Drosophila melanogaster: one gene and its partner. Changing the gene in region 2 together with the main gene of any one other region gives a genetic interaction. Each region holds a gene or a part of one and is shown on either strand. Other genes may lie near its edges.

Evidence for each region.
Region 1: of mAcon1 (region 2) and ND-19, changing one suppresses a phenotype caused by changing the other (phenotypic suppression), as found in Drosophila melanogaster (one study listed by BioGRID).

The regions. Positions count from the first base shown.
Region 1 is NT_033778.4:24,662,266-24,665,997, reverse strand, and holds ND-19 (NADH dehydrogenase (ubiquinone) 19 kDa subunit), read right to left. Parts: upstream 1,601-3,732; 5' UTR 1,552-1,600; exon of another isoform or gene 1,542-1,551; intron 1,491-1,541; exon of another isoform or gene 1,483-1,490; 5' UTR 1,448-1,482; coding exon 1,319-1,447; intron 1,145-1,318; coding exon 969-1,144; intron 906-968; coding exon 815-905; intron 762-814; coding exon 630-761; 3' UTR 559-629; downstream 1-558. Other genes in the region: CG34214 (uncharacterized protein), read left to right, coding at 42-100, 160-547; CG30161 (uncharacterized protein), read left to right, coding at 1,669-2,424; Cpr60D (cuticular protein 60D), read left to right, coding at 2,696-2,707, 2,766-3,035; CG3663 (uncharacterized protein), read right to left, coding at 3,650-3,732.
Region 2 is NT_033779.5:21,166,465-21,173,800, reverse strand, and holds mAcon1 (mitochondrial aconitase 1), read right to left. Parts: upstream 5,232-7,336; 5' UTR 5,030-5,231; coding exon 4,997-5,029; intron 3,611-4,996; coding exon 1,973-3,610; intron 1,907-1,972; coding exon 1,403-1,906; intron 1,342-1,402; coding exon 1,153-1,341; 3' UTR 617-1,152; downstream 1-616. Other genes in the region: CG31627 (uncharacterized protein), read right to left, coding at 1-513; CG43345 (uncharacterized protein), read left to right, coding at 5,587-6,798, 6,853-7,122; CG43346 (uncharacterized protein), read left to right, coding at 7,249-7,336.

The DNA of each region.
Region 1 (3,732 bases), on a different chromosome or scaffold from region 2:
GTGAAGTGCGTCGTCCGCATAAAAATAAAATTATCTTCAAGATGGCTCCTCGAGAGAAAGTTGAATTTGTGCTGGTGCGCCTGGCCTTTGTTCCTTACATGTAAGCAATTAATATAAATACCCAAGAGATCGCCAGAAACTCATTCATTCCTGTCGCAGAAATCCTCTGTACCCGCGCATCAGCTACCAGATCAGAAAGCACGCTCCCACCGGATCGATTATCCAAGTGCGCGATTGGTTCGAGCATGTGATGATGAGGGAGCGCTCCAAGCTGCCCCCAGATGCTAACATACGCTACGCAGAGTGGCGCATCATCACCGGCGACATGGAGCTGTTTCAGGTGCAGGGCGTCCGCTTCGACAAGATCATGCTGGTGCTGGGCGAAGAAAACATCTCGTGGGTCTTCTATCAGAACACGCCACTTTTCCGCCGTATCGAGGGCAGCGCCTGCTTCCCTGTTAGCTACTGCGGATGCTGCCTGAACAACCAGTACCTGGATATTATGGCCAAAATCAAGCAAACTGTGTCGAGGAAAAAGATACGATGAAATAAATATATCGAGTACTAATGGAAACAAGAGTTTATATTAAGATGAACGCTTTCAAATTTCACTAGGCGCTGGCAGCTGTCTACTCCAGCCAGTGGAAGCGGGAACCGTACTTTGCTGGCGGCTTGGGGTAATCCTCGGGCAAACCGGGGGTGGCATCGGGATAGGAGACCTTCTCCTCCTTCTTGGGTGCTTCCCGAGCTGATTGGATGACCTGAAAACAGAAGTGATTAGGAGAGGTCTAAATAAAGCATGCCGAGAAATTACCTTGGCCCTCGAGAAGTATCCATAGGAGGGACGATCCCAGTCGAAGTTATCTTTGATACACTTGTCGAACACTCCCTGGGTCTTGCGGCAACTAAAGTATGGATGGACATTGGTATAGCATGATTGGAATATTCAACATTTACGGAGTGCTTACTGTGAAAAAGCCATAGTACCGCTGCTCTTATCCAGGCAGGTGGCGTACTGCGTGAACTCCTCATGGCAGGTCTTCTTCACCTTGCGGAAGAAGTCCAGGGCGCAGCTGGTCACGGCTTTGCCCTCCGCCAAACAGGCTCGCGGGTCATCCAGCTCCTGCCGGCACAGCATAAACTCCTGAAATTACACGAAGGAAAAGGTAAACAAACGGGGAAGGTGCTTTTTGAGGTTAGGTTATATAACTAAGCCGCTCGGATTTTAAAGAGGCAGCGGCTCCCAGCTTCACTTTAAGGCGCTTTTCACCTAAGCATTACTATCAGGAGGATTCCCCTGCAATCTGGATGTACTAACATTATTGGCCTGCTCGCATTGCTTGCCCAAATGGAAGGCGCCTGCCCGTAAGGCCGCCGACGATAGATTTAGCTCCTGGACGTTCAGCTCCGACTCCTCGGGCAGTGTTGTGTTGTTGGTGATGACCATAATAGCGTTGCAGTCCTGTGCGATCAACCAAAAACCTGAAAGGCTATGAAATTCAATAAAAAACAAAATAATTGTAGGATTTTGTTAATTTTACGTTTGCTTACAACACAACAGCTGATTTAGATCCAGGGCTGCTGAGACGTAGCTGTCAATAACAATTTATATCGATAGTGTAGCCGTTTCACAAAGTCATCGATAACAGGCTCACAATTTAAATTAAAATGATTTCTTTAATCTTATACATCTGTCTATTTTATAGTGCTGCAGCTGATCGCAATTTAAAAGTAGTTAAGTATGAGAATTCGGTTGACACCATTGTTAAGAACCTCATCGACAACTGGCAGTCGCCGCTAGTTTACCTGAAAAGCCGCGGCTACCTGCCGAAGGATGCGCCCGAAATGGATTTCCAGCAGCTGCAAGGGAACTTGGACCCCAAATTGTCGTTAAACGACTTAGTTGAGCTGAACAAGGATTCCAAGCGGGAGGCGGAAACCAAAAGCCAAGACAATTCCATTGGGCAGATTGATCCGCGGGCAGTCCGATCGCTACAAGATCCCAAGGACCTCGAGCTGAAGAAGATGTTCCAAACGCTGTTCTCTTCGAACGACAAGACTGCCTCCGAGGAGATCAAATCCAAGCTGGGAGTGTCCTGGGATATGAATGCTTTAAAGACATCCGCCCGTTTGGGTGCCAAGAAATATCTCGAGAAGTTCAACAACAAGCGAAATAAGGGGATGTCTCTCTTGCCAATTGAATCCTCAGATGGGACACTTACTAACGAGGCATCTCTAAATTTTTCCTCACTTATACCGCATGCCTTGGAAAAGAAAAGCAACGATTCTGTGAGAAAAACCACTATCAGTAAGCCAAGCTTTCTGAAGGGTGTGGCCAAGATTCTGAGCAATCCAGAAATTAGGTATAGAGACTGGGATTCCAAGCCTGCACAAGAAATCCTTCCGAAGGCCGCGGGCGCATAGTTTTCAAATTCATTGTTGATGATTAAATGTTCTTTTAGTAGCAAAATGGGTTAACAAAATCGCAATCAATTAGTTGGGGGAGGCTGGCCTGCTTCTGGTGCCAGAAGCAGACTCGATTGAGTAGCCGCAAATTTCATATTCATGGCTGTCTGGTTAATCTCAGTCATTTCATTAGCAGATGCGATTGAAACCCGTTTAGTGGGCTAGGCAGCTTCGGAGTATAGTATAAAAGGCCGACGGGCATTGTTTCATTTCAAGAAGCTGCTCCAAAATGCTGAAATATGTGAGTTTAATCGGATTTCAAACAGACTATTGGATAATCAGCCACCTCTCAATTTCAGAGCCTTATCTTTGCCCTTTTCGTCGTTTTGGCCAGCTGCAGTGAGGAGGATCTGCAGGCGCAACTTCTGAAGTCGGAGAACCGCCAGAACCTGGATGGAGCTGGGCAGTTCCAGCATGAGATCACGGTCAGCAATGGGATCCAAGTGAAAGCTCAAGGCAATGTGAACGGCATCCAGGGCGAATACTTCCTTCCCGGCGAAGATGGCAAGCAAATTCGCGTGACTTACACCGCAGATGCAACCGGCTTCCATCCGAAGGTTGAAGAGTGACCGAGTGACTTTGATGTTATGTTAATCTTAACTTATAAAACGGCGGTTTTTTCCATAAAATGAGTGGTGAGGTAATGTCTTGTTGTTCCAATAAAACGTTCCCCTGGTAGAACTCATATTGAGAGCTGTTGGGCTACAGTTCATAGAGCGCTTCAGCATCTTCATCCAAGGGTCTGTCCAATTAGACATTGCGCTTACAGAGCCCCTGAATGGGTCATGTGGAATGATGATGATTTCCTCATCCCACACTGCTGCACAAATAAAAGGTTACCGAACAGCACTCAGCTTTATAATCAATGCCGACAGGCGGCATAAAATACGCATTGTCATCCGCATAATAAGGAACCCAGCGGAAATGGGGCAAAGTGGGGGAACTCACCGGAAGGGAAGCCATTGGGGCTATTGTTAAACGGCAAATTCAAATATGGACTCGCCCATTGTGCGGGGCCATTGGAATATGTTACGGAAATGACAACTTAAATGGGTGCTGCTCCCATTCGGCCCATTCGGCCCATTTCCCATCCGCGTATCCTTGAAAAGCACAATTCTGCATGATGGTTTTATAAATGCAATTGGCTTTATAACAAACAGATATTTAGACAGGAGGGGCTATCTCACAGCTTGGCACTGCCCGCTGGCACTCCGCTCCCGTTGCGCGTGAGTTCCATATCCACCGACGGCTGGTTCACCAATTTCC
Region 2 (7,336 bases):
ATTTAGAAACAGCAGATTATCTGAATAAAATAGTTTTGGCTGCGGCGATTCACCCGAAAACTTTGCACCCTGCTCTTGTATGCGCTCCATCTCAACTTTATAGCGAAGCTTGTGAATCATATGTTTCCAAAACCCAGATGGCGAGTCCGCTTTCATTTCATCGGCAATCGCATCCCAGATTCTGTCTTTGAGCTCGAAATTGAAGAAATCTTTGTTGCGCTGATTCCACAAGCATTTGTGATCTTCATACAATGCGATTAACTTTAATTTAGCCTTGGCGGTCTTCATGAACTCCGGGCTAGGTGAGAAGGTGATGGGGGTCTTTCGCAAAGAAGTGGCGTCTGTATAAGTGTAGGAGCCTGTGCTGGAGTCAAAGGACGTTGTACTCTGTTCCTGACGCTTAAGTTTTGCAGCCAGTAGGGCTCGTCTTCTTCCCAACGATGGCTTGTCGGAGAGTGAAAAGAAATCCGTGCTGGAAGCAACGGAAGTTTTACTTTGAGCTCTGCGTTTCATAGTCCTAGAATTGGATTTACTAATAATTTATATTTGATTGACAATTCGACATATTTTCCAAAAGCTATGGGTGAATAATTAAGTAATCTGCCCCAGTAGATTCTATTATTGATATTATGCTTTATTGTGCAAATTGTTGTGTCTTACGTCTTATAATTGATAAAATTATGTTAATAATGAAGAAAATATAGAGGACACGGGATGAATTGACGGCACTTATTGTCCGCTTTTTTGTTTTAACTGTTGTTTATTAAATGAAAGAATCGGTTTAATACATATTACTTGAGTTTTATTCGCACTTAAAACAGTTTCATAGTAGAGGCAATCTGTAGAGCATTTGGACAAATTCAAAAAGAACAAAAATTGAAGGAAACGCATGCATAGCCAGAATTAAAAATAAAATTGTGTATAATTATATATATAAAACTCTTACAATTTCTCGCTATCGTTCGGCTACATAATTCACTTTTAAAGCTGCACACTCGATATAGTCAAAATATAATATAAACAATTTGAAAAGAATTGAATAACAATACCATAATTCGATTGCTTCCGTTGTGAATTTGAGTGTGTTCACCTACAGGAAGAAGGTTGGGATCAGGCTTCTTGACTGGGTGTCTTAAGTAGGTCCAGGACCATTTACTGGGCCAGCTCCTTCATGCGGTTGAGAGCGCTGCCGGCCTTGAACCAGCCGATCTGTAGGTCGTTCAGGGTGTGGTTAAGCTTGATCCTCTCGACCTTGTCGCCATTCTTGATTTCGGCATCTACGGGCTTTCCAGGCGCAAGGGATTTCAGGTTGAGCAGGGAGATTTTGCTCGTGGGCTGGATCTGTTGAAGTACAAAGATATGGTTAATATGACCTTAGTCACAGAAGCTAAGAGTCGCAAACCTTATCGTAATCAGCGGGATTGGCGAAGGTGAGAGGCAGAAGACCCTGTTTCTTCAGGTTGGTCTCGTGGATACGGGCGAAGGACTTGACGATAATGGCACGACCACCAAGGTGACGGGGCTCCAAAGCGGCATGCTCGCGGGACGAACCCTCGCCGTAGTTCTCATCGCCGACGGCCACCCACTTGATGCCGTTGGCCTTGTAGTCGCGGGCTACGTCGGGAACTCCTCCCCAGCTACCGTTGCGTTGGTTCTTGATGTTGTTCATCTCGTTGTTTTCGTAGTTGGTGGCTCCGATAAACATGTTGTTGGAGATGTTGTCCAAATGGCCACGGTACTTCAGCCAGGGTCCGGCAGCGGAGATGTGGTCAGTGGTGCACTTTCCCTTAACCTTGATCAGCACAGTCAGATCGGTCAGATCCTGGCCGTTCCACTTGTCAAAAGGCTCCAGCAGCTGCAGACGCGTCGACTTGGGGTCGACAGCCACCTTGACATTTTCGCCGCTCTGTGGGATTTCCATATTGATTCTTAAGAACAATATAAATCAGTTTGGGAATTTAAATGTACTTACGGGTGGGGGAGCAGTGTAGGTGTCCTGGCCGGGATCGAAACCCTTGGCGGGCAGCTCGTCGCCGAAGGGAGCCTTGAGCTTGAACTTCTTGCCATCAGCACCAGTAAGCTCGTCGGTCAGCGGGTTGAAGTCCAGACGACCGGCGATGGACAGAGCGGTGACCAACTCGGGACTAGTGACAAAGCAATGGGTGGCCGGGTTAGCGTCGTTCCTGCCAGTAAAGTTTCGGTTGTAGGAGGTGACAATGGTGTTCTTGTCGCCCTTCTTAACGTCCTTACGATCCCACTGTCCAATGCAGGGACCGCAAGCGTTGGCCAGAACGGTACCGCCGAACTTGTCGAACACCTCAGAGATGCCGTCGCGCTCGATGGTGGCACGGATCTGCTCTGATCCGGGAGTCACATTGAAAGGAATCTTCGACTTGAGGCCATGGCTCATGGCATCCTTGGCGATGCTGGCGCAGCGACCCATGTCCTCATACGAAGAGTTGGTGCAAGAGCCAATAAGACCTACACGGATGTCCATAGGGTACCCGTTCTTCTTCGAGTTCTCGCCTAGCTTGCTGATGGGATGGCCCAAATCGGGAGTGAATGGTCCGTTAACATGGGGCTCCAGGGTGTCTAGGTTGATTTCAATCAGCTCATCGTACTCGCAGTTCTTGTCAGCGGACAGAATCTTGGCCTGGTACTTCTGGGCTTCGGAGGCAATGCCAGCACGGCCTGTCGATTTCAGGTAATCAGCCATGCGCTGGTTGAAGGGGAACAGAGAGGTGGTAGCTCCGATCTCAGCACCCATGTTGCAGATGGTGGCCATGCCTGTACAAGAGATAGAGTCAACACCCTTGCCGTGATACTCAATGATGGCACCGGTGCCTCCCTTGACGGTCAGGATATCGGCAACCTTCAGGATAACATCCTTGGGCGAGGTCCAGCCGCTGATCTTGCCAGTCAAATTGACACCAATCACCTTGGGGCACTTCAGCTCCCAGGGGATGTCGGCCATCACATCGACGGCATCAGCACCACCAACGCCAATGCACAGGCCACCCAAGCCACCACCGTTGGGGGTGTGTGAGTCAGTACCAATCATCAGCAGGCCGGGGAAAGCGTAGTTCTCCAGAATGATCTGATGGATGATTCCGCTGCCTGGCTTCCAGAAGCCCAATCCGTACTTTGCACAGGTGCTGGCCAAGAAATCGTACACTTCCTTGTTCAGGTCCTTGGCACGGGCTAAATCCTTGGGTCCACCAATCTGGGCCTCGATTAAATGATCACAGTGAACAGTGGAGGGCACAGCCACCTTTTTCAGTCCGGAGGAGATAAACTGAAGCAGAGCCATCTGTGCAGTGGCATCCTGCATAGCCACACGATCGGGGCGAAGACGCAGGTACGAAGTACCGCGCACGATGTCCTGGTTTGCGGGATCGTCCAGATGCGAGTACAGCACCTTCTCGGAGAGAGTCAGTGGGCGGTTCAAGCGACCGCGCACCACTTCCAGGCGCTTGTTCAGCTTCTCGTACGGCAGGTAGACGTCCGAGTCGAACTTGGACAGAGCCACTTTGGAGGCGGTGTAGCAGGAGGCGTGGAACTGACGCACCACTGTGGCTTCGGACGCAACATGCTTGCCCAGTCGACACACCTGGAAAGCAGATAAGAAGTCGAACTGTTAAATATGGTGAAGTGGTACATTTAGCAATCAAGATCAAGTAATTAACACAATGTGATTCTCTAGTTTATTTGCACTTCGCACACTGTGAGATTTTATTTATTCGCTTGGTAGCCCAATAAACACTTGATTATCATGTCAAGAGGACGAGTCCTCGTCACTTTAATTAAATTGATTCCTCTATCAGGAAATGATAATTCCCAAAGATATTCTGACAAGAGTACAATCATGTGGGGACCATATCTGTGAAAATTCTTCTTTACTGTACATTTAATCTTGCATACATATATAACAAATGTAAAACATTATTATCACCGCTTTCACTTGTTTTAAGATCAATATATTGCTAAAGCTAATAAATTTTAATCGTCTTGAAATTTTTGAATAGCCAAAAATAATCCATTGATCCATTTACCGCTTCAGAGTGAAATTTTTCCAAATATTTTTTTGAGATTAGTAAAATGATTGAAAGTTTACATTTAACAATCAAAGTATTTTAAGTGCTAGCCAAAGTGCTTTAAGGTTCTTCGAACTGCAGAATAAAAAAATAAAAAGTAGCTGGAAATATAGTTTGTTTGTAAGCCTTTCAAATTGTTACAATATTCTACAGAACACTCCAATTAGAAGAACCACGTGACGACACGACTGTATGTACATACACGCAAATCGAAACAATTGCAATGACAATTACGTCAAATAGGTCGTTAACTTATGGGCAGAGTACAGTGAAACCTTTCTCGAAGCTGACGTGGAAAAACCCCACTTGAAAGGCAAAACTCCTCCAATGCGCGTGATACTCAAGTTAAACGGCGCAACTTTTTTAAGCTATATTTAGTGCTGGCATTATCAAAGTGTAAGTAAACCTGTCACAGATAAGACGGTCCTCCGCCACAAGATATATGCTCTAGAGGGTGTTCGCCTCCTGGTTAAATAACTGGACCCCGGCGATTATGTAAATGCAACTATGCCAACCATCGAACCCCCACGAATCGCTGTTAATTGTTGAGAGCTAACGATTTCGCATGGTTCACTGCTGCGTATTCAGTATACATGTTTGGGATGCAGGGCCTGTAGAATCACAAACACTGCGAACTCGGTTACCTAACCACTTCGAATTTTATGATTTTAGGTTAGAAAACGCTGTGCGAAAAATTTGCTATTTTTCGCTGCCCACATCCTGCTGGGTGTGTAAGAAATGGGCAATGATTTTTTGTAAACTTTCGCGCAGTGCTCTGTCCAGTTGTCTTTATCGCAGCTTGGAATTTCGGGGTTCCATTCACAGATTCTATACGTAAACGTATATATAGCCGTGGTTATATATTGGCCGACTGGAGGCACAGGCTCCGCTCTAGAACCTACCTGTGCCTGGGCGTTCATCAATCTCGCAGCCATGGTCGCGTCCTGATTAAGCGATACTCGAAATAAACCCGACGAAATTGATATTGCAGCAAATGCTTCGAAGCCGTCAAAATTTTCAGCCCTCTCAGCCGGAAGATTTTAAGACAGACTAAATTCTTTACCACGGCGACCAGTGTTAGCTGGCGTCACGCATACGCGTCAGCAATGTTCCGCCGGCTTGTTTCCCGCCAAAATTGGGTCGTTAAATAAATAGGACCATAGAAAGTTTATCAGTTTTGAATTAAAGCGATAAACATTTATTAACTTCAAGAGAATTAATGGACTCTATGGCGTTAAAACTTAAATCGAAGTAAATGCTGAAATAATGCACTGACGACAACTTATTTTTCTGAGCAGGGACTTGGATTAATTTATCCTTTAGCTTTTTTTTAGCAGCCAGCGCAGACGACTACCGCGCTGTGCTGTCCAACACTGCCCATTTGTTTGCGTGGGCGGGTGATACTTTCCCACAACTGCGCGAATAATAAATAGGCTCGGCTGTGAAAAATGTTTGACAATGGCCAGTCAGCATTAGTCCTGATCCCCTTGCCATGTCCGAGCGTCGCGTAGTGCATGAGATACCCGGAGAGTACCAGCCAGTGCCCAGAGCACCGGAAGAGCCAACCCCTTTGACCACATCGTGTTGCCGGCGTCCCAATTGCGGCCTAGGGCTCCAGGATGAGCGAAATATCTGTTCCTGCAAGCACGGCTACATCATACCAGTGCTTATACTCTTCGTTCTGGTGATGATTGTGCTTCTGTTGCCTTGGGAGACCTACCATCGAAATGAAAACGGAAACAGCCCCGTTCCGGTGGAAAAGCCGTTACCATGTCAACTCGAACTGGTGGAGAGCTTGCCCTTGGGGTTGAACTACAGCCAATGGCAAAGCCACCCCCAACTGAGTAGCACCTTTGATGCCTGGCAGCTACTACTAGGCAGGGCCAAGGCATCGTTGGACATCGTTTCTCCGCACTGGACACTGCGCGGCTTGGACGTCAACGATAGCAGCACCGGGCCTGGAGATCAACTCTTTCAGCAGCTACTGTCGAATGGAGATGCCGGCAGACCCAAGCTGCGCGTGCGGATTGTGGTTAATCGCAGCCACGATAGCCTGTGGCATGCTGATGCCCGTATCTTGGCTAACTACGGAGCAGCCGACGTCGTGGGCATTAATTTTCTGCACTCAAAACTGTGGTTAGTGGACGGGGAGCACTTCTACTTGGGCACAGCTAGCATGGACTGGCGATCACTGACGCAACGCAAGGAACTAGGTGTGCTGGCCAGAAATTGTCCCCATCTTGCTCTAGATCTGGGAAAGATCTTCAAGGCGTATTGGTACCTGGGCAGCAATGAAGTGCCAAAGAGCTGGCCGTGGATATACCACACGCACATCAATCAAAGAAGACCGCTTTTGCTAAACATCAACAAAAAACATACAATGAGAGCTTATTTATCCACATCACCACCAGAGTTGATCGCTACTGGAAGGACCCGAGAGCTAGATGCCATTTTAGAGGCTATCGACAAGGCCACAGACGTTATATACCTCTCCTTAATGGAGTACTCTCCTCGGCTAAGACGGAGTAACAAATTGGAGTACTGGCCGGTCATAGACAATGCCCTGCGTAGAGCTGCCTTGGAACGCGGTGTGGCCATTAAGGTGCTTATTTCATGGTGGAAGTATTCGGATCCCAGCGAGGATCACTTCTTGAGGTCCCTTCAAGCGCTCGACAAAATTACGGAAGGAGTAGATATACAAATGGTAATGAGCTTATAAGTATTGGCAATTTTATTAACAATTTCTTTGCTCTTGCAGCGACGTTTTGTTGTACCCACCACAAATGAACTGGAGAGGATTTCCGGCGGTAGAGTTAACTGCAACTCGTACTTAGTCACCGATAGGGTTGCCTTTATAGGCACCTCCAGTTTTTCGGGAGAGCATTTTACTTACTCAGCTGGCATTGGATTAGTACTCCAGGACATGGAATACAACAATAATAGTCTCCGTACAGATTTAATGGCAATTTTTCTGCGGGACTGGTTTAGTCCCTATGCATTGCCACTGAAACCAATTTTACGAATTTGAATTACGCTTTTAAACCTGCCGGCATTTTGCAACACCGCCACCAGCTGTTCATGTCATAACAAACGCAAGACCTAACCTCAAATTCTAAAATAAATTTAAGTTCCTCGCTCTTAAGTTAAAATAAGCATGGCTAACAAGCCGACGCGCGATGTGATCGGCATCATCTTCAAGAACTTTTGGAAGTCCCTACGACCGCGGCAGTTTCGTGGGGATT